3 linked regions of the Styela clava genome follow. The main gene of each other region encodes a partner of the protein of the gene in region 2 in a complex. Links are inferred from orthologs where the notes say so. Each region holds a gene or a part of one and is shown on either strand. Other genes may lie near its edges.

Evidence for each region. Proteins that work in one complex are often made in the same cells at the same time.
Region 1: 116 kDa U5 small nuclear ribonucleoprotein component-like (region 2) and uncharacterized protein LOC120336929 share a complex: the UniProt entries of both Homo sapiens proteins name them as parts of the minor spliceosome. The link is inferred for Styela clava from reciprocal best matches to the Homo sapiens genes EFTUD2 and BUD13.
Region 3: 116 kDa U5 small nuclear ribonucleoprotein component-like (region 2) and uncharacterized protein LOC120339308 share a complex: the UniProt entries of both Homo sapiens proteins name them as parts of the minor spliceosome. The link is inferred for Styela clava from reciprocal best matches to the Homo sapiens genes EFTUD2 and SRRM1.

Annotation. Positions count from the first base shown.
Region 1 is NC_135251.1:6,173,806-6,180,724, reverse strand, and holds the start of uncharacterized protein LOC120336929, read right to left. Parts: upstream 3,004-6,919; 5' UTR 2,989-3,003; coding exon 2,885-2,988; intron 1,828-2,884; coding exon 1,737-1,827; intron 1,295-1,736; coding exon 1,172-1,294; intron 383-1,171; coding exon 1-382. Other genes in the region: very-long-chain 3-oxoacyl-CoA reductase-like, read right to left, coding at 4,677-5,597. UniProt on the Homo sapiens protein: Involved in pre-mRNA splicing as component of the activated spliceosome. As a component of the minor spliceosome, involved in the splicing of U12-type introns in pre-mRNAs.
Region 2 is NC_135262.1:13,319,086-13,326,535, forward strand, and holds the start of 116 kDa U5 small nuclear ribonucleoprotein component-like, read left to right. Parts: upstream 1-4,436; 5' UTR 4,437-4,501; coding exon 4,502-4,667; intron 4,668-5,237; coding exon 5,238-5,317; intron 5,318-5,953; coding exon 5,954-6,145; intron 6,146-6,906; coding exon 6,907-6,972; intron 6,973-7,166; coding exon 7,167-7,316; intron 7,317-7,450. UniProt on the Homo sapiens protein: Required for pre-mRNA splicing as component of the spliceosome, including pre-catalytic, catalytic and post-catalytic spliceosomal complexes. Component of the U5 snRNP and the U4/U6-U5 tri-snRNP complex, a building block of the spliceosome.
Region 3 is NC_135250.1:14,829,993-14,836,935, forward strand, and holds the start of uncharacterized protein LOC120339308, read right to left. Parts: upstream 3,004-6,943; 5' UTR 2,961-3,003; coding exon 2,940-2,960; intron 2,549-2,939; coding exon 2,459-2,548; intron 2,184-2,458; coding exon 2,061-2,183; intron 128-2,060; coding exon 1-127. UniProt on the Homo sapiens protein: Part of pre- and post-splicing multiprotein mRNP complexes. As a component of the minor spliceosome, involved in the splicing of U12-type introns in pre-mRNAs. Involved in numerous pre-mRNA processing events.

The DNA.
Region 1 (6,919 bases), on a different chromosome or scaffold from region 2:
TATTTGATTTAGAAGTCGATCTTCGAATTTCTAAATCAGAATCGTGCCTTGACCTATGACCTTTGTGTGAATGTTTTCCTGATCTAGAGTCAGTTAAACTTGATGAGTCATGTTTTCTTCTAAAAGTATTTTCTGCTCTGTCATGCTTTTTAGTCCTTATGTCCAAGTCACTATCGGAATCATTATGTTTAGTCCTTTTAGAAATTTTAGATCCCCTTGGTGGCGCTGTATCGTCTCCACTAGTAGAGTCATGCCTTTTTCGTGATTTAGCCTCTGATTTCCTCGGGATTTCTATATCGCTGTCCGAATCGTGTCTGGAATTATTTGATTGCTTTTTCCGAGGGATGTCATCAAAATCACTACCAGAATCTTCTATCACAATCTGTAAAAAAATTGGAATTTTCGAATTTTTATTTAAAAAAAAGTAATATCAAACACTATAAGAGAGAGATTTATGAGACTAAAATTCCAAGAGCCACTTAAACTATATAAAATTCAGTTATCAAAATTGATAGTACCAAGTTAGGGTTAGGCCATAATTTGATTCCGTTTTTTTTTTATTTTACTTCTATTACGAGTTCGATGACTAGTAGGTTTCAGTCCCTTTACACAACATGATGTAAAGTAGGCGAACAAAATTAGTCACCTCCATATTAGTACACACACTTATGGATCGTCAAAATTGCGTTGTCAATTGAAACAAAGCAAGAGATATCATACTTATTAACAAATAAGAAATAGGCAATCATTTGACATGTTTTTAATGGAGACTTGCATAAGTTCAGATGTGGAATCTGATTCAAAAATTTTGAATCAACTCGGAGTTGATTGTAAACTTATGCCGATTCAGCAGCCCTGGTGAAATCTCATACGAGAATGAAAATCGGGGAAACTTGAAAACAAGGTAGCCTACTCGCGAAGTGTGTGAACCAAGATGGCGGACACCGGAACATAGTATGTGTACCCGATTAGGGTTACGCCATAATTTCAGGTACAAATACTACGGGAGTCACTTGGCTAGTCCCCGAACTCGTAATAGAACTAAAATGGGAAAAATTGGGATAAAATTATGGCCTACCCATATTCTGGTATACATACTACATTAAAGTATCCGAGATCTTGGTTCACATACTTCGGGAGTACCGGAAATGAAGCATTACGCAGTACAAACCCTATTTTCATCGCTGTCTTCCTTCAATGTTTTCCATTTACTGCTCTTCCTATACGCATCAAGTTCCTTCTCAGATTTTGTTCTGTTGTCGATAACTTCAACTTGAGGTTTCTCTTCCTGTGTCTGAGAAGATAAAAAGGTCATAGGTCAGTGCTTCTAATACTTTTATGATCTATTCTATCTTCCAACGACTGTAACGTTTTTTGGTCCTCCTTTTCTATGAAAATACCTTGCTGTTAAGGAGTTTTCATGATGTATTCAATGCACCATGTTTAATATTAAAAAGCCAACGTAATCGACTATTTTAACCACTGAAAGTACCAAAGCAATTGGTCACTTGTTGAGTAAGAGGAGCGATTTTTTTCATAAGGTAACAAGAAAAAGAACAACAACCTAATTAATACCAAAACGATCTATAGGTCCACTTCATGTCAAATAAGCTAGGAGAGAAAATAATAGATAAGATTACACAAACTAGGCCAATGGGGGCTTGTGGTTAAAGCATTAGACTCAACTATAATGGCATCCCCAGAAACCTTGCTTGAATAAAATATGTATAACGTACCAGTAAAGCATCAGGGAAATCCCCCTCCTCATCTTTCGGTCCAATATTTTTCCATGAAACATCGTCATCGACTATTTTCATGCCCCTTCCTCTGAAAATAATAAAATAAAAAATAAAATGACAGGGCTCGTGGGTGGGATGCACACATACTCTGTGTTAGTCCGAAAGCTGAAACCTCATGGGAGGAGATACTTATGTGCAAGAACTCCTCATTGACATATGCCGCCAAAATCCATATATCTAGGGTGTCAATAAAGTATTATATAATTTTCATAAACTGTAGAGAGAATTTAACGATACCATATATTGTTTTGGCCCTCACAGATGTATTGAATGAAGTGAAAATACTTAAAAATTACTGATTAAAAAACAATAAACCTGGTAATGCTATATTGAGAACTGACTTCATAACAAAATTGGAATTGTAAACGAACTTATGGACACCCTGTACAACAAATAAGGCATGTGAAGAACTCGGCTTGTCAGAAAAAACTCTTACTAATATCTTTCCTCTCCCATGAGATAAATGTGCTAAGCATTAGTACAGAGAGAAACTCAAGTAAATCGATACAAAAAACAGAATGTAAGCCGAGATATAATAAACAGGGTAGGCCACATAACCCATGATGAACTGGAAAGATCCCAGTCACACCAAAGAGAAACTGGAGATTACTATGTACAAAGGTATGGCCAATATAGTTTTGAAGTTCATACATATAAAACAGTCATCGGCACTGCGATACTACTCGGCCAAATATGCCTATTGACGGCAGAGTATGAGCTGCATTATTTTCCACCTATGAACAGCCGCCACATTAATAAACTTCAAATTATGACATGACCGCAACTTCTATTTCTGTGTTAATTACAAACTAACAAGTAGGTATTCGTTCAGGAAGCAGCCAGAATCCCCCGATATGTTCGCTAACTACTGCAAAACAACCACCGCACAACAGACATTGTTTCGACATACATCCGCCAACAGATAACTATAAATTTCTGAGCAATTTTTGGTTTTATGCATTAAAAATGAAGTTCAAGGGCCACAAAAAATCTCTTCACGTATCGCGGTTTGCACTAACTCGCCATAAATTAACTAAACCTTGTCAGTTTTCTCCTCATGACAGATGAAAAACAACATCACTCACTGTTTGACTTTTCCCCCTTTTTTCTTTTTCCGTTTCTTATAGTCGCCACTTTCAACTGGGGCAAGATATTTCTTCAAGTATTCCTCCCGGCTGAGTGAAGTCATTTTATATCTATGTCTATGCCTGGAAATCAATGAATTTTATAAAAAATTTTGATAAAAATAAACAGCATACAAATTGAAAAAAAGTCTTGTAAAATTGGTGGGACAAAATTCACTTGTATAATGTAATATAGCGGTGAGTGTTTGCATATTAAATCTTTATTTTATGGCATTTTTTTACATTTGCTTGAAGAAACGCTAGGCCACGCAAACTCACTCAAAAGTAAAGCAGAATCATCAATAGAGACAGATTTCTGAGCAAAATTACAACTGAATTCCGGGAGTTACTGAAACTACAGGGAATCATGTTGGTGGGTGCATTATGTACCATTACCTGCTAAACAACTTAACTAAATTGATACCAATTCTATGTTATTCCTCGATATTTCCATGCTGGTGGACCCGTATGGCAATGATACAAGAATGCTGCAGGAATAGTAAATATGAAAATTCTATGTGATTTAATAAATTTCTTGCTTCAAACTAACACGAATGTATTTATGCAGCATAATCATCATCTCAGCAAACATAAACTTCTCCACACAACCTCGAGTTCAATATAATTTATAAAAATACTTTCGTGTTAGTTTCAGCAAGACATCTAAACCTCTAACAATCAAAAATAGGCAAAATATGAAATATATACAATGTACAGGGTGTCCAAAAAGTTTCGCCCGATTATAAAGTCTTTATAATCAAATGCTATTTTTTTAATTTAAAAAAATATTTATATTCAACCTGTTTCTAATTTGATGTTATATATGTTAAATGTTGTAGTCCCTATTTATCATACAACCAAATTTTTCAAATTTGCAATTGGTAATGCTATGAAATCGGGCGGAACTTTTTGGGCACCCCGTATTATAATCTCAATGGCAAAAGAAGTTCACAAGGGGCTCCCGAAGTATGCGAACCAAGATGGCGGACATCGGAATGTAATATGTGTACTAGGTTAGGGTTAGGCCATAATTTTAGGTATAAATACTACGGGAGGCTCTTGGCTAGTCTTCGAACTGATAATAGAACTAAAATAAGGAAAATTGGAAAAAAATTATCGCCTAACCCTAACCTGTTACCCATGTTACGTTCCGATGTCCGCCATCTTGGTTCGCATACTTCGGGAGCCCCGTTCACAAATTAGAAACAAATTAATTAGATAGTGAAACAATATAGAATACCATGACTTTCCACAAATAATACACAACTGACTTCAATAGAATTATATGCTGAAATGTACCTGAATATTATGCAAGGAGAAATCTGGTAACTAGAGGTAGAATGGGTTATGAGCAGATAAGTATTCTAGAATTCCTATCTAGCAGGGATCATGGTCCAATTACTTAAAATGATAACTTTTCAAATGTTTTTTAAAAGTTTTTTAAATTATAGAACACTTAATGGGCCCAAGTGGAACGTTTTGGTAATATGTTGTTGTTAATCTTGTTGGTATTTTTTTTTATGTTATGAAAAAAATTTCTCAATATTTCGAGTACGGTATTTTGGAATGTGTTTAAAATAATCACCATAAGTTTCGGTACTCCAACACCAATCCAGAACGAATTTATTCGACTACCAAGGTATCACTATATAATTCAAAACTACTTTTCAACAGTTCTAGCTTTTTTTTAAACCTTAAAACTATAACACAAGTTACACAACATACACAAAGTCAACATTTCATTAAATTCATCCTATTTATTAGGTTTTAATTTTGCTGCTTCAGATCCATTTATCTTTGCAGCTAAGAAATCTGGGATGAGATTTATGAAAAGTTTAAACACATTATGTCCAAGGAATCCTGTATTTGTGTGAGACGATTTTCCCAGTGACTTGACAACATGTTTTCCGTACAACTTTGATACCGGGATCAACAAATTTGGTTTCAAGTCAGTGTATGTTAATGCCATTGGTGTGACTGTCAAACCTGGAGCAATGAGTTGAAAAATTATTCCTTTGTTTGAGTATTCATTCTGCATCGCTTCTGTATAAGCGTTGATAGCTGCTTTTGAACCCCCATAAACTGAAAAATATGCTCCATTCATAGAGGCAACAAGCGAAGATATGTTAGTTATAATCCCACCCCCCTTTTTGACCATATTTGGCAAAACGATTTCTGTCATTTTCATGGCAGCCAAGACATTGACATTCACAACATTAGTAGAATATTTTCTGTACTCTGGAACGTCCATGAAGGACATAGGTTTTCCGAACGCCATGCCGACATTGTTAACCAACAATGCAATATCGAGATCCCTCAATTCTTCATTTATGACATCATAAATATCTTCACCATTTGAAAAATCAACTGCTATAACAATAACACGAACGTTGAAACTTTGTCGCAATTCGTCAGCAAATTTATCAAGTTTCGACTTCGTACGAGCCAAGATCACCAAATTCATTCCAGCTTTAGCAAGTTCATATGCCGTCGCTTTTCCAATTCCGTCACTAGCACCGGTAACGACCGCCCATGTCCCGAACTTCTTAAAATCAAAGGTTTTACTCCACAATGACTCGTTGATTATGCGAGCAACAGTTCCCACAAATCTTGAGAAAAAGCGGAGAATAGTTAAAACTCCAACTACTGTAACAAAGTTTTCAACCAATGCCATGTCAGAATATTTATCCTAGACTAATACATATTCCTAAAAAATGAAAACGTTTTTAAGTGGTGGAGGATTCGACTGAGCAATTTTGATAAAAGGAGAGTATTAGGGTAAAATGAAAAGCAGGGAGGGCAGGGCAATCGCCCATTGAAAATGTGGCTGTAATAATTTAATTTTTAAAAGCATTAAACGTTGTGTTGTAGACTTGTAGTGTATAGTATAGCACAAAAAAGTCAAAATTCTATACTATTTATCATTACAACAGACTATAGCAAAAAATGAAAGCATTATCACATTTTTTAGCATAAAAGTATATATTATAGAAAATTGCACAAAAGTGCCAAAGCAGACGCATGACATTGATTTCAAATAATCTACAATTGCAAATACATTTTGAAATGATATTTTTGAATATAAATTATAGAATAGAGCAGCATAAGAACATTCAAATCTACAGTAGTTAGAAACTTTTTCTTTTTTTGGAAATTTAATGATAACAACGGGGTCTAGCGAAGTGAACGCCATAACTGCTTGAATAACAGCAAACGAAAATGTGATGTGAAATACAGCTAATTTCCATTTTTTTTAAATATAAGTCTGTATCTTGTGGAACACTATACCCTATTTGACATGGGCCATACCTGCTTAGTTGCAAATTAAGTAGGTTTGGTTAACTAAAGGCATCTCTCAATAAATCTCATTCAGTGCCTGATAGAATTTATTTTTAAAAACGCAAAAACAACTTATTTGTTTGGCATTATTACTTATCGATCCTTAGATCGGTAAGTATGTTGATTGGTATTTGTCTGCGTGTATGTCTGTTAGATGCACGCGATATCTTACGAAAGCGAGATTGAATCTGCTCCAGATTTTGCATGTGCATTCATCATATTTCGGACCAAAAGCATATTAATTTTGGGCGAATTATGTCGTATAATCAGCGAGTTATTAAACATTTAGTGATGGGACACAAGGTGTTATTATGGAGTAAGAGCGCTGTTTTGGGAGACCCCCTCCCGCTAACTTTCGATCGATAAGTCTTTGGTCTCTGACCGATATTCTCGTTTGAGCAGTTTCAGGATTTACTTCGCTAGAAGTTTATGTTAGGTCAAGATTGGTCTGACAATATTCCTCAGTTTGAATGATTCGTACTAGTGGCGTAATTTAAATTCTAGATTCATACAAAAATTGACCAGAATAGATTTTATGAAAGGAACAGGATGATTTACGTCTGTATTACCCCAGAGCACACAGATGTGAAACCCAATTATAAGATATCTCCAGTTCTCCAGTTTTTTTTTCACACAGACGCAGGGCATATTTATCAC
Region 2 (7,450 bases):
CGCGTAGAAATAATTTACAGAATCAAACCGGACAGCCAGTGTTCCCATGGATAAAATAATACAGCGAAATTTTAGACGAAATATCAGATTTCGTGCGATATTTAGAAATAAATAAAAGTAATAGCCTTCTGGCGGAAAAATCAATCTTTACTCACTGAAAATTTCAAAGCAATTGGTAGTAGTCAAAGAGAAAAGCAATTTTTTTTAAAATGATGGAGACAAATAATAACAATAACAACAAAATTTTGAAACGATCGTTATGTCCACTACGTGTCCAATAAGAATGTCCTGGATTCTTTAGTTTGAATAAAATCCGACGGGAGTGCTGTGGTCCATCCCGCATCGCTTCGTTTCTCAAATGTATTTGAATATTTTATAAGTTACAAATAGTTTTATCACTAATAACAAAATATCTTCCAACCCCAAATTCCCCCCCCCCCTAAAATACTGGTACACACACTTCTGGAGCGCCATTTTTTTAAATTGCGTAAGATACGATATTTGAGTAACAGGCAAGACACTAATTATCAAGCTCAGCATCGTTCTCGCATACAGTAATGCCCAAACCCCTCGCATGGACCAAGATTCTCATGGAAACATCTGTTCTCTACAAATATTTGTGTCATGAAGCACGGAGTTCCACAAGGATCTTTACTTGGCCCATTATTTTTTCTAGCTTACATTAATGACATGTCCAGGTGTCTGAAATCCTCTGAGTCGATCATGTTTGCTGATGACACTAACTTGATTCTTCATGGTGAAAACCTTGAAGATCTATTCACAGTTGCAAACCAAGAACTAACCAACATTCGTAGCTGGATGTTAGTTAATAAATTATCTCTGAATGCTAACAAAACTAAATTTGTATTATTCCATCCAAGCAAGCATAAAAGTGTGAGTTGTTCAAAAAAACTACTGCTCAATGGCAATGAAATTGAAAGAGTGAAAGAAATAAAATTTCTAGGAGTTATCTTTGATGAAAATCTGTCATGGAAATCACAAATAATGCATGTTATTGGTAAAACAAAAAGAAACCTAGCAGTTTCTGCCAAAGTATCCCAGTGTGTTGATCAATCAGCTCTACTAGCAATGTTTCAATCATTACTACTTAGCCATATTCGATATTGTTGTTCAGTCTGGCTTCATGGTAATAAAACACTTGTCTCAAAACTGCAGAGTATTTGTAATAATTTTTTAAGAATAGTTTTTGGTAAAAGAAAACGTGAAAGTGTAGAATCTTACTTCAAATCACTAAATATACTTAAGGTTGAAGATATGATGAAATTTGAAATATTATCTCTAGCTCACGACTTCCATAATAATGCGCTGCCCAATTGCTTTAATGACATACTTGTCAAAAATACCTCCAACCGAAGAAGCAGTTCTGATTTATTCGTACCTTTCATGAGTAAATCCGTGAGTCAGCATTCCTTGTCTTTTACTGGACCCAAACTTTGGAATTCTCTTTCCTTAAATTTGAAGACCTTAAAGTCCAAAAAATCTTTTCAAAAACAAGTCAAGTCTCATTTAGTTTCCAAATATTAAAAATTACTACTGGTGGTATTCGATGACAAAAACTTGGGACACTCCACACTTGCACATTATTGTTTTAATGAAAATGTTGAACAGCTATAATAATATTGTTATATCTTGCCACGACTTGGCCAGAACTAGTCCAGCACCAAAGAAATGGTATTGTGACATGCTTGAGTATATATATATATATTTTTAAATATATAGGTAGCTAACGTACCCGGATGATATTTTCTTTAAATAACTGCACACATTCTATCACTTCACGCTCGTGTTTTTATGTTTTTCTAGCTGTGATGTCCTTATCATACACGCTTGGTCTTATGTTTGAGTGGTGGTATAAGGGTTGTAGATAGTACAATATTGTTCCTGCAAGGTTACTACTTATTGCAACTAGGCGAGCAGTAGAGCTATGTTGGTTTCTCCCCTTCAGATTTTAATTTGCTGTGGGTCATTGTAATTGGATGTGGTTTTTATATCATTTATGTATGCATGCGTTTTATGTTAGGGCATGGTGTTTGAGTTGACTTGTTGGCCAAGGTATAGATAGTAAAATTTTGTGTGTTTTTTGCATGGTGTGATAAATTTTTTTCTCTGTCCCAAGCAGAATGTCATCATAGATCATCTATCCATCGCTATACAATGACAATACATCCCATTTAATTAAACAATTATTTTTTGCCTGTAATAAATAGTTCAGAGCGTTCCCCTTCACCCAATCATTGAAACATCTACTCGCAGTTTTATTTTTTGTTTTTCAGGTTACTTCAAAGTGATTAAATGAAGTAAAACACATAAGAAAAAAATCAAAAAAGACTCCGATATCCTGTGAAATAACAACCTTATTCCTATATCCTTGTCTGAAATCAATACCCAAGAATGAAAAACCTCACTTACACCCTTTGTAACCAATTTATTTCCACATCCTACTTTACTTAATTATAGTAATTTTAGTGTTACCGGTAACTTTAATTACTTACTACAATCTGGACTATAATTTGGCAATAATAGGCTCTAATTTGGGGAATGAAATGGTCTCGCCCACCTCTTCATGCACCCAATTCTGGCAACTTTGGTTGGGCAACTTGGCATTTGACTCCAACTATAATCAGCTTGGCAATATGTTTTCAATAGAATCTTCCTTTTATATCTTAATTAACGATTAGAAGATCGATCAATTTGGCAATGGCAATCATTACAAAAATATCAATATGGTGTGGCAGATAATTTTCTTTTCTAGTATTTATTTATTTATTTTTTGTTTACTGTATAGTATACCCTAAATTTATCGCGTCTTATTCTTACTTAAATAAATTCTCAGTGGTTGTGTGTGTGGCTGGTGGGTGCATGTGAGCGTGTGTGAAATAACTTAATAATTTTAGGTGAGTAAACACGTACCACTTCCTCTTGGCAAAACCTTCCATCTTATATTTTGTACGTTATAAACCTTATCTAAGGTTTTGTTTGCTCCCCTGATTTCATAATCAGTTTTTATTTATTTGTTTTTATCTGTCAAATGTATTGTTATGCTGATTATGGAGTCGAAATAAACTTATACTAACTTATACTTATACTTATAATCATTAATGCGTCAAATTCGTCTATTCATACTTGGTCATGGTACGATGAGTTGCAGGTAGGAAACGTATCCCATGCGTTTCGTGCGAGGGAGTTTTAGACAAATGCAGATTTGTAATTGACGATATACACAGAGGTATACAGTAGCGTTGCACGTAGCGTAAGGTTGTTTTGACTTCATATTCTTGTTATCAGATTAACTTCGATAATTAGGATGGGACATGATGTCAATGACATGATGTCTCAATTTTAAAATGTCAATACAAATGTTGATAACGTTTGAACTAGAATTAAAACCTTGAAGATCACGAAGAAATATTGAAAAAATTGATAAATCATTCCGAACTTGGTTAGATGAATGAACTTGATATAATATGCAATATCTGGTATATAATTTATTGTTATTGACTTATTTGCTTTGAATAGTGAGTACATAAAAATAGAAACTGCGTGCAGAATCAGATGAGCATATTAAACCTCATGTACCACTACTTCTTGACTTCAGTACTTGAATGTTATATAAATATGTTTTCGATAAGAATTGGAGTAGGCCCTATTTCTGAGAATTAACTTGAATTGAAGTTGAGACTTGCATCTTTTTGTAGGTCATTTCTGCATTTAGTACATAGTCTGCAGACCTATAGATTGTATCTCTCACAACAGCACGTATACTGCATATATAAAAATTCCCACGAAACAAAAATTGGGTAAATAGTAGTAGATTTTTTAGTAATTATTCAGGCAGTAAAGCACAGATTGGACTTGGATTCCAAGAATAGCTGCATCAATAGAATCATCAATAGCAGAGACATCAATCATGATGCTGAGTGCAAACCCCTTCTTTACGAGACAGTCTGAGCCTCAATATTGGCGTGGCGGTGTGGGTCATCGTGCTAAGCGGTGCTAAGCGATAGGAATGTGCTCGCCACCGCACCTCTGATTACTCTGCATGGTTATGTGCAAGAGGATTGCTGAACACCTCACCGTCGTAGGGTGGTCCACGTAACCGCTGGTCTGTCACGGCTTCCTCCACCATCAAGTCCATGCCTCCAAAAAAACAAGTAGGCTAATTAACTAATCCCATACCCGACATGGAATGGTATCTTATCGACTTACCTCTCCCCCGAGATAAATATGTAAATCCTAATCTAAAAATATCCTCATCAGATTCCTTCCTTCCTTCACAATTTTGATCATGTGACGGCTGCGATTAATTTAGATTTATTTACTTAATCAAATGACTGAAAATTTTGGAACAAGAGAACTGTGTCCTACTGCAGTATTAGCTATGCATCTAATATTTGCCTAATATCCAACTTTTTAGGTGTATTTCAACAATTTACTTTATCTATACAAGGACATAATATAGATACAACAAACATATTCCACCATGGATACAGAAATGTACGATGAGTTTGGGAATTATATCGGACCTGAGTTAGATTCCGATGAAGAAGATGAGGAAGTAGATAATGACATGTCACCATCACATGATCTCGATCGGCAAGAAGATGACGATGACAATGATGTTGATATGGATGGCAGTGGAATTGCAAGTAATACACACAATATTTTTATATGTAGATTATGATATTAATCTTAGTAAAAGGAAAAAAAAATAGGTCAATTTGATCATATATCGAACCATGGATTCTTGTCTCGTTTTCATGCGTTGGTATTTTAATTTTAGTCTGCCTACATCCCATATAAATTTATTGCAAATCAAAAATAGCGATCACCAAACTCAATAATAGTACTTATTACTGGTTTTATGCAGAATTTAATGTAAAACATGATTTTATTAACACCGGCCAGATTTAGTAACAAAAATTTTTTCTGTGAAATTTTATTAGTCTGAATTCTAGATAACTAACTTATAATGTGAATAGAATTCTCAAATCCAAAATCAATTTCGACATGATACAATTTTCATTTTTCTTATATGGTATATTCATAGTCCTTTGCTCTGAACAAGGCTCTGCAAAAGAGACCAATGCTAGGTATTAAGCTACCATAGTGAGAAAGGGGACACCCTGGACATGGGATTTACTGCTAAGTCTAACGTATTAACCACTGACCTACCGCACCCACAATTAATATATTGAAATAAGGAAATTTAATTTTAGAAACTGGGATGGAAGTTGTTTTACATGAAGACAAAAAATATTATCCAACCCATGAAGAAGTTTACGGTGAAGAAGTCGAGGTAAAACTTTCGGTTTAGTTTTACATTATATAATTCAGTATAGTTTTTCTGGCTGCGATTTAGATATGTTGCCAATGTATCCTCACTATGTTGAGATATGTTAGATTCGGGCTAATAGGCACTCATCGAAAAATTAGCAATTTTTGTTTGTCTGTTGCATTGGCAATAGTTAATCAACTTGATTTTTTTTTCCTACTACTGTGTGAGTTTTTGTGATTTTCTTTTCACCAACTCAATTGAAAATCTATTGTTTTAATTGCAACATTTTAAATTAAACAAGGGTGAATGTTAAAAATATTACTGAGAAATAAAAGTTTCAAAGTAATCAAATTGAAGTTTAGAGGCTATTTAGACCCAAATTATTTCAATAAAAATTTACAGGGATATAAAAGTGTCTCGAGTTTTTTTAAGTTTCGCTTTTTTGGATCAAAGCTCTCGACTATTCAATATTGTTTCAGGATAATTTTTTTTAGATAAAATTACTAGGACTATATTGGTGTTTTTTGTTTTCGGCCACCAATCTGATTTTCTGGAATTGTCAAATTCCGAAGGATTAACCTGCAAAGTTGTGGTTATTCTATATCTATTATATTCTAAAATTTTATGGTTGAGCAATTTTTCAACAATTTTACTCAGACGATAGTGCAAGAGGAAGATGCACAGCCACTGACAGAACCGATTATTGCTCCGATAAGAAGGAAGAAGTTCGCACTCATGGTCCAAGATTTACCAAACACTACATATGATATGGAATATCTTGCTGATCTCATGGACTCACCAGAACTTATAAGAAATGTTGTTATTGCAGGACATTTGCATCATGGAAAGGTATTTGATAAATTATTTTTTTGCAAATTTATGTCAATATGCCATAAGATGAATTGAACCATAGGATAAATAAGGTTTTGGCCAACGTGCTTCGTGATTTAGTACCATGTTTGTAGCATTTTTTAACTGGATTTTTTTTACCCAGAGACGGAGCCAATTTTTCCAACTCGTATTCAGAGTCAGTTGTAAATTTTTTCCCGACACTACAGCTCTATTAACAACATTTTCGCTAATGTGAATTTAAATAATTAGTGCAGGATAGAACCTACTTAATAATATTGACTATATTTTTTTCTGCCTCTGATATCTCTGTATCAATGAATCGGTCATACTGGTCCAGACTATTAACCAAATGAGAGGTCATACTTCTTGCTGTAGCATAAAGCTGTGATCCAAGCTTGTCTCAGTAAATAGAGCGGGTGATACTAGAAATTCTAGTGGCTGATCTCCTTGCCATCTTTTTTTTTTTTCTTTCGCATTCATTATTTTCTAACACTTCATACAAATAATAAAATTTATTTTTTTCAGCTTGTAATTTTTTGTTTTTAATATATTAGTTAAATTTGTATATTAAAAACATTTAATTAAATATACAAATTTCAATGATTAATTATTTTTATTCCTCTGGCCACTGCCACAGTGTCTGGTAAAAATCTTGGACGTTCTGAAGAATAAAAAGACAGTGAAAAGCATTTTTCATTGGTTTCTAAATATTAATATGATGTCCTTCTTTATTCAATCCATGTTATTGTTTGTTTTAGACAAATTTTGTCGATTGTCTGATCGAACAAACTCATCCAGATATTGCAAAGAAAGAAGCTAAAGACGTAAGTTTGAAAATCTTGAGATCTATTCCGATCATTTTTTTTGTGTCCTACCGAGTTTATTAGGGCATACATGCTAGAGAAACAGTATCTTGGAATTTTTTTAATTTGAATATGATCCAGAATTATCCAGGATTCCAAATATCAAATACGCTGCAGCCATAAATCCTTGATCTATTTTTCTTCATTATTCACAGTTGAGATTTACCGACACATTATTGACTGAACAAGAACGTGGATTAAGCATTAAATCACAGCCTGTTACTCTGGTATTGCCTGATACAAGAGGCAAAAATTATCTTATCAATGTTATGGATTCTCCAGGTCATGTCAACTTTTCAGATGAGGCAAGTGTTGAGTTTGTAATATCTTATTATACATATAAAATTGAACTTTGCGTCCCCAATTAGATAAATAAGTGTAAATGTTACGTCATTTTGTTGACATTGCATTTATTCTTTAGGTCTGCGTGTTTACAAAC
Region 3 (6,943 bases), on a different chromosome or scaffold from region 2:
AAGGGATACCAGTAGCACTTTCTTGTGCTGATGTAAGAAGCGGCCACAATTGTCCAAGGAAAAGTCTAGAATTCTTGGCGTTCAAAAATCCAGTGAGATTTATTTGAAGATTCTTTGGGTCAGGATACTAATACAAACAAAAAATAAACATGAACTATATAGATAACCATTCTAATAAAAAATCAGCATGTGTAGAACTGTACATATGGCATACTTTGTAACTAATAAGACAATGTTCAGACCCAATTTTCTAACCATTTTAATAAAAAATCAGCATGTGCAGAAATGTACATATGGCATACTTTGTAACTAATAAGACAATGTTCAGACCCAATTTTCTGGGGTCGGTGCATTAATACTTTCCGATCAGAAAATATTGTGAAAGAACAATAGCACGCCTTCCCATCAGTTTTCGTTAATCGCCGTTCATACAGTGAATCTGTAATATCTCTGCAGTGAATATTTGCATTTGTGTGTGCATCACTAGCAAAAGCCTTTACCGATACTGTCCTCATAAAAATAATGTTATTAAAATTTGAAAACAAAGAGATATTCCTAATCTTTCATTTGATTAGGTTCTTGACAAACATACCGCCAATATAATCATCCTTTATGAGGCGATTAGGATATGTATCTCATGACTATCATGCAAAACTTGATTTTGTTTCGGCTCAATCTGGACGTGTCACAATTAGGGATGGGCAATATAGAATACCGAATCCGGAGGATTCAAAGCCCAAAGTATTCAAATCCAGCAGGATCCGATAACAAAATTCGGTTTCCGCCTCTCCAGCGTCTGCTCGCAATAAACCCGTGAAATCGGTAAACATCAGACACTGTAATCTCAATCGGCATATTCAAGACACGAAGTCGGCGAAGTACACCTCACGGCAAAGACTCGTTATTGCACCATTTTTGCGTTTTTCTGCTTTGCTATCTAGCTAGCGTATACTATTATTAATTATTTGTGCCGACTTACTGGCGATATTCCGATAATCTGATTGCAACAATCTTTATTTGGATACAGACGTGCCTTGCTTCATTTTATATTAAATGATTTTTTGCGACCTGCGAGTTTTCTCAAAAAATAATGCATGTGAACCAGAACCAAAAGCGTTGAATGTTATAACATTACTTGCGATTAATTTACATCAAATATCATTTACGAATAATTTTATTACATCCTTTTTTCAAAATACAAAGTTATATCGCAAAACGAGAAAATCTGTCACATTTGAATTTCACTCTCAAAAGATTACATATTTTTCGGTCAGTTTCTATCGTTCAAGATAGACGCACATTTGATCGGGTGTTTGTAGTATTTTAGTCGCCAATAAATTTAAAAAAAGTTGTCGCATCTGGCAGAGATAGTGACGTATTGAGTCTTTGGATGTTATTACCTAATAACTAAGTACGAAATCGTGTTTACAAAAACTTGGTTCCACGAGTCTTGCTCGCACAGAATTAAAAGTTGATTTTAATTGATAGCGCTTCAATTTAATATTTTACAATGGGTGCATAGGTTGCAGTGGCAACAAGCTGGTCCTGCTTATATGTAATTCTCAGTGGGTATGTTGTAGTACACTCGGCAGACCTAACATTAATAATGATTTAACGATGTTTCATATCTATTTTTGTATTTAACTGCTTACTATTAAAGTGTTCAAAGCGTGCCTTGATTTAGAATATCAGTATTTAGGGATAACATACATTTGGAACAATTGGAAGGCAAAATATATTGTAATATTCATAAAATTTATTGTCCTGGGAAATGCCTGTTTAATATCAAATGAAATCAAATGTCCAAATGAATAATACATTTATAGTAATACATTTAAAATTTTTTAACATCAAAATCTAGCAATGTGGAAATTCCCACTCTTTGAATAAGTATGAAAATAGATTAGGATTCGGTATTCTAGATTCGATTTAACTATTCTATAATAGTAAATTATCCTACATTGCCCATCTCTAGTCACAATGCTGAAAAATATATGTAAGGAAAGAGAATTTCAAAAAAATGAAATGAATTTTACTCAAATAAATAAAAACTTTCATACTCTTTCCTCCAGGTGATTAAAAACATATTCAATGACGACATCATCTTCAAAGCCAAGCATTTCAGTAATTGTCTTCGTAATCCAAGGTTTAATTGTTTCCACATTGATCTTGTTCATATCAATCTGAATGAAACATGGCTGATCTCAACTTTAAAAACAAAAACGCTAGAAACACGGTGAACTACAATAAATTTACATTTGATGAAAATATATAAATACATCCTGATACAATACTGCAATAGTTAAGTATTTTAACCATGTAATACTTATAAAAAATGAATGAAATATTATCCTACAGAAATAATAACAGCAAATATGCCTCAATATTTAAGAATTCGATTCGAAGGTTATTGAAAGTGCCAATCCAGCAATCCCTATAAAAAAAAATGAAATGTTACCTTGCTCTCCAAACCGTCTGCAAATTTCATCGATTTCAACAATTTTTTTTGCTTGTTGGCAAAACGATTATCTTGCTCGGCACTGGTGCCCTAAAGAAATGAAATGTGAAAGCTAAAATATCCAATCTATAATTTGACTAATTTAATCCTATTTATAATTTGTGCAAGCTTATAATACGAATACCAATTATAACAAAGTAGGAAACAGATGCTTTGAATTTTGCGGATTCAATATTCTAAATTGACCATCCCCAATTATGTTAATAATCTTATGTAATAACTTAACCTATAAGTTAAAACATATCTAAGAAAGTAGATCCGATCTTATAAATCAAAAAATAGAGAACCAACTAACGTAAATGTGAAAAACAGTGAAATGAGTGAGAATGACCAAATGCAGAAAGCTGAGGTTGAAAATGAGATAGTTCAATTGAAACTCAACATTTTAGATTTATTTAACGATGAAATGATTGAGGCTTACCCTGAAAAATCCTGCATCCATTTTTTTCACTTTACGCCTATTGCTAGTGACCAAAATGTATTACCTTGAGGATCAAATTTTAGAATTAGATTTTGGTCAATTCATCAGTCAAATCAAAATTTTAAAATTATTAATCGCAAATATGTCAAAAATAATTTAGTTTGATTAAATTGAGCATTGAAAATTTGTTGTTTTTGGATTGAATATTACAGTAACCTACGGCGCAGCCGTCACATTAAGAGATATCAATGATAAGACCAAAATTACTCCAGCCCACATTCAGCCTGACGTCAAGGGGTTAACCAACTATTTTACTGACTTTATAACTGTTATTACATAAAAACTTGGTGACTCTGACAACATAGAGACCATATCTGATATACACAACGCAAATACAATACCAAGCACGGCCCAGTTACCCCTAGTATGGCCTGACAAAAACGAGTGTGGGCTAGCTTCACACGAGTGTCAGAGTGTAGGCTAGCGTCACACGAGTGTGTGCTGGCATCCCGCGAGTTTGGGCTAGCGTCAAACGACAGAACGAGAGTGGGCTGACCTGACGTTCTGACAATGTTTCACCGTAAGTCAAGGCATCCTAAACGTTCACAGATTACTAAATTACATATATCCATGTTTAACTCAGCGCCAGAACCTCTCAAAGTCCGGCAATTGATGGCACAGCCACAATTTGGGTGAGCGAACACGTACTAGATCTACTTCTTTTATCAATACCTTTCCATCTAAAATCTGTACGTTTCAAACCTTACTCGAGGTTTTGTTCGCTCTCCCGATTCTATAATCAGTTACTTTTATTTTTATCTATTATTATCGTCTATTGCTGATTATGGAGTCGAAATAAACTTATACTTATATAATTGCCGGGAAAATGAATCAAAATCAGCTGAACAATAATATCTCTTATCCCTTATGCCAGGTATGTAGGTAAACAAGCATGAATTCACAGGACTGCAGGAGGGTTTCACAACATGAAAATTTAAATCTAAGCGAATATCAAACCTATTCATTTCCATCAATAAAATTGAGGTATGAACAAATCGAATCTGATTTGCACAAATACATCTTTTAAAATAAAGATTGAACAAGCAAATTGAGTAACATTTATCCAAAGAGATACATTGTCTTGATGGCTTTGAAGTCTGATTTCGGCACTTCTAATACTCTGTACACCATGAAATTGACTTATTACATTATATATCTAATTATCCAACAAATAACGAAAAGTTCTACCAGGGAAAAAAACGGAATCTACCTATGTCTAACGATAATCCTATTTCACGATAATAGCAGAGCCATTATATAATGACTCTGATAATAGTATTTTATGTCAAAATGCGGCAGGGAATTGAAACTTTTATATTATTTTGTACATCACGCAATTTGCCTTTTATATTATATAGTGAATTATCTTACAAATTCTGAAAAATTCTACCGGGGGGGGGGGGGAGACTTTAAAATAAAACCGGAATCTACCTATGTCTAACGATGATCCTAATTCCCGATAATGGTATTTTATGACAAAATGCAACAGGGAATTGAAACTTTTCTATTAATTTGTACATCACGAAATTTGCCTATTATATTATATAGTGAATTATCTTACAAATACTGAAACATAAAAAATTTTACCGAGGGGGAAGACTTTAAAATAAAACCGGAATCTACCTATGTCTAACGATAATCATATTTCCCGATAATAGTATTTTATGACAAAACGCAACAAGAAATTGAAACTTTTCTATTAATTTGTCTGTTGGTGTCACGTACGTAGACCAAATTCCTGTCTCGCCTTCTCCGGCAGCCATTTCCAGCCAGTAGGCACGTGATAAACCATCCGAGGTAAATACTTCATTAGTTGACTGATGGGTGTATTACTTAACTATTTGGAATCCTGACAAATGAGTTGGCCATCGTTGTATTAACATCTTAGGGCTCGGATTTTTCTGTTATTCCTTCATTTTTTTAAGCCAAATACTCCCGTATTATCTGCTAGGATTGTGAAAGGAATCGCGTATGGAATAGATTGCCACTTGTCCACCGACTCCTTTGTGCGTTAATCCCCTTCGTGCAGGGGTCATATGCTCTGGCTGCTGGGGTGATTATAGTGCGCTATAGGATAAACGTTTTCGAATGGTGATTCCTTCCCCTCTTTTGTTTGAAATATGACAGCACCAAACCCGTTCTCTAAAGCATCCGTTACGACATACAATAGAAGCTTTTGGTCTACATCATGTAATATTTTCGTGTTATTTAGTTGGCGTCGTGCGATTTTGTAGTCTTCAAGTAATTCTTTAGTCCATACTACTGGCGTGCCTCTGCTTCTTGTGGTAGGTACGTTTCCTGTTAGGGCGTCAAACTTCGCTAGTTTCCGATTGAGTTCCGGAATATGATCTGCTATATACCTCAAAGCACCGATCCATCCTCTGAGTTTGTATATATTTCGCGCCGGTGGTAGTTCTTTCATCATCTTCAGTCTTTCCGGTTGAACCTCTATTTCTTCCCCACTCAAGGTGGCGCCTAGCAGGTTGATCTTGATCTAGCAGGTTCTTTTCCAATAAAACACTTATTGATGCTTAAAGATCGATTTCATTTTGTTAATTGTTCGAAGGTCATTTAGAGTAACGTTAGGTGGTCCTCGACTGTTTTAGTGCTCAGGAAGATGTCGTCTATGTATGCTTCTATCAGCGACGCTTTTTGCTCCTCCAATCACTTTTTGTTAGTCACGTGTTCCCGATACGTCGCTGTTATGGGTTTCACCACACACTCTTGCATGTTAGCCGACCATAACGCAACGGCAGTTTTGAGTCCCATTGGAATATTGCACCAACGTATGTGTACCCCTTTCACTGTTATTCCAAGAAAGGTTCTAAATGCTTCGGTCATATCACAATGAAAATAGGCTTTCTTGAGGTCGAGTAGCGTGAGTACTTCTCCTCCTTGTGTCATTTGCTTTATATCGGGTATTAAGGAAGGCGGTAAATCGATTGGCTCTATCGTCGCATTTTATTTTTGACGGACCTCCATCCTATGCCGTATCAATTTCTGTGCCTAACCAACGAGGAAGGATCATGTTTCCTTTGACGGAATAAAACTCATAAAAGTCTGATTCAATACATATTGAAGTTATAATACTGGTAGACCAATGGCAATTTGATGAGATTATAATCTATTTGCTACCTTATATCCGGACTGCCGGTACTAATTGAACACATGGACCTAATTTAATTTGTGTACATAACTACACTGTCACACAATTAGGTAAATTTTATTTCATGCCTCTTCCTTGCTGCAACGATAACACCCTCAAATGACCTGAGGAATTTTGTGACGCGTTCCACGACCACAGCAACACGATCGAACCAAGCATAAAATTTACCATAGAAAAAGAAGTCAATGGGACAATAGCCTTCTTAGATGTCCAGATACAGAGTGAAGGAAATGGAGAATTGACGACTGATATATTTAGGAAAAAGACCCATACTAATCGCTACCTCAATTTTAACTCTAGCCACCCGCTTAACCATAACGTTCAGTGGTTAGTAGTCTTATGAATCGTGCCAAAACTCTTATATCGGATGAAACAAAGCAGAAACAAGAAATAAATTTCATTAAGAAGACTTTACGACAAAATGGATATCCAACGAAAATGTTCAGAAATCATGTAAATCTCCAAAAACCGCCTGATAAACCCATACCAATCGCATCTACCACCATTCCGTATGTCCAAGGACTAAGTGAAAAAATTCGAAGAATTTTGGAAGACGTTAAAATCAGAGTAAGTTTTAAACCCCAACACACTATCGGCCAATTGCTCTCCAACGTCAAAGACCGCCCATGCCCTAAACAAAAAAAACGGAGTTGTATATACAATCCCATGCAGCGATTGTTCTTCAGTCTACATTGGAGAAACCAAAAAGAAGCCTGGAAACTCGCAGCAAGGAACATCTACGAGATATTAAACAAAAGAAAATTGACAAGTGGGCCCT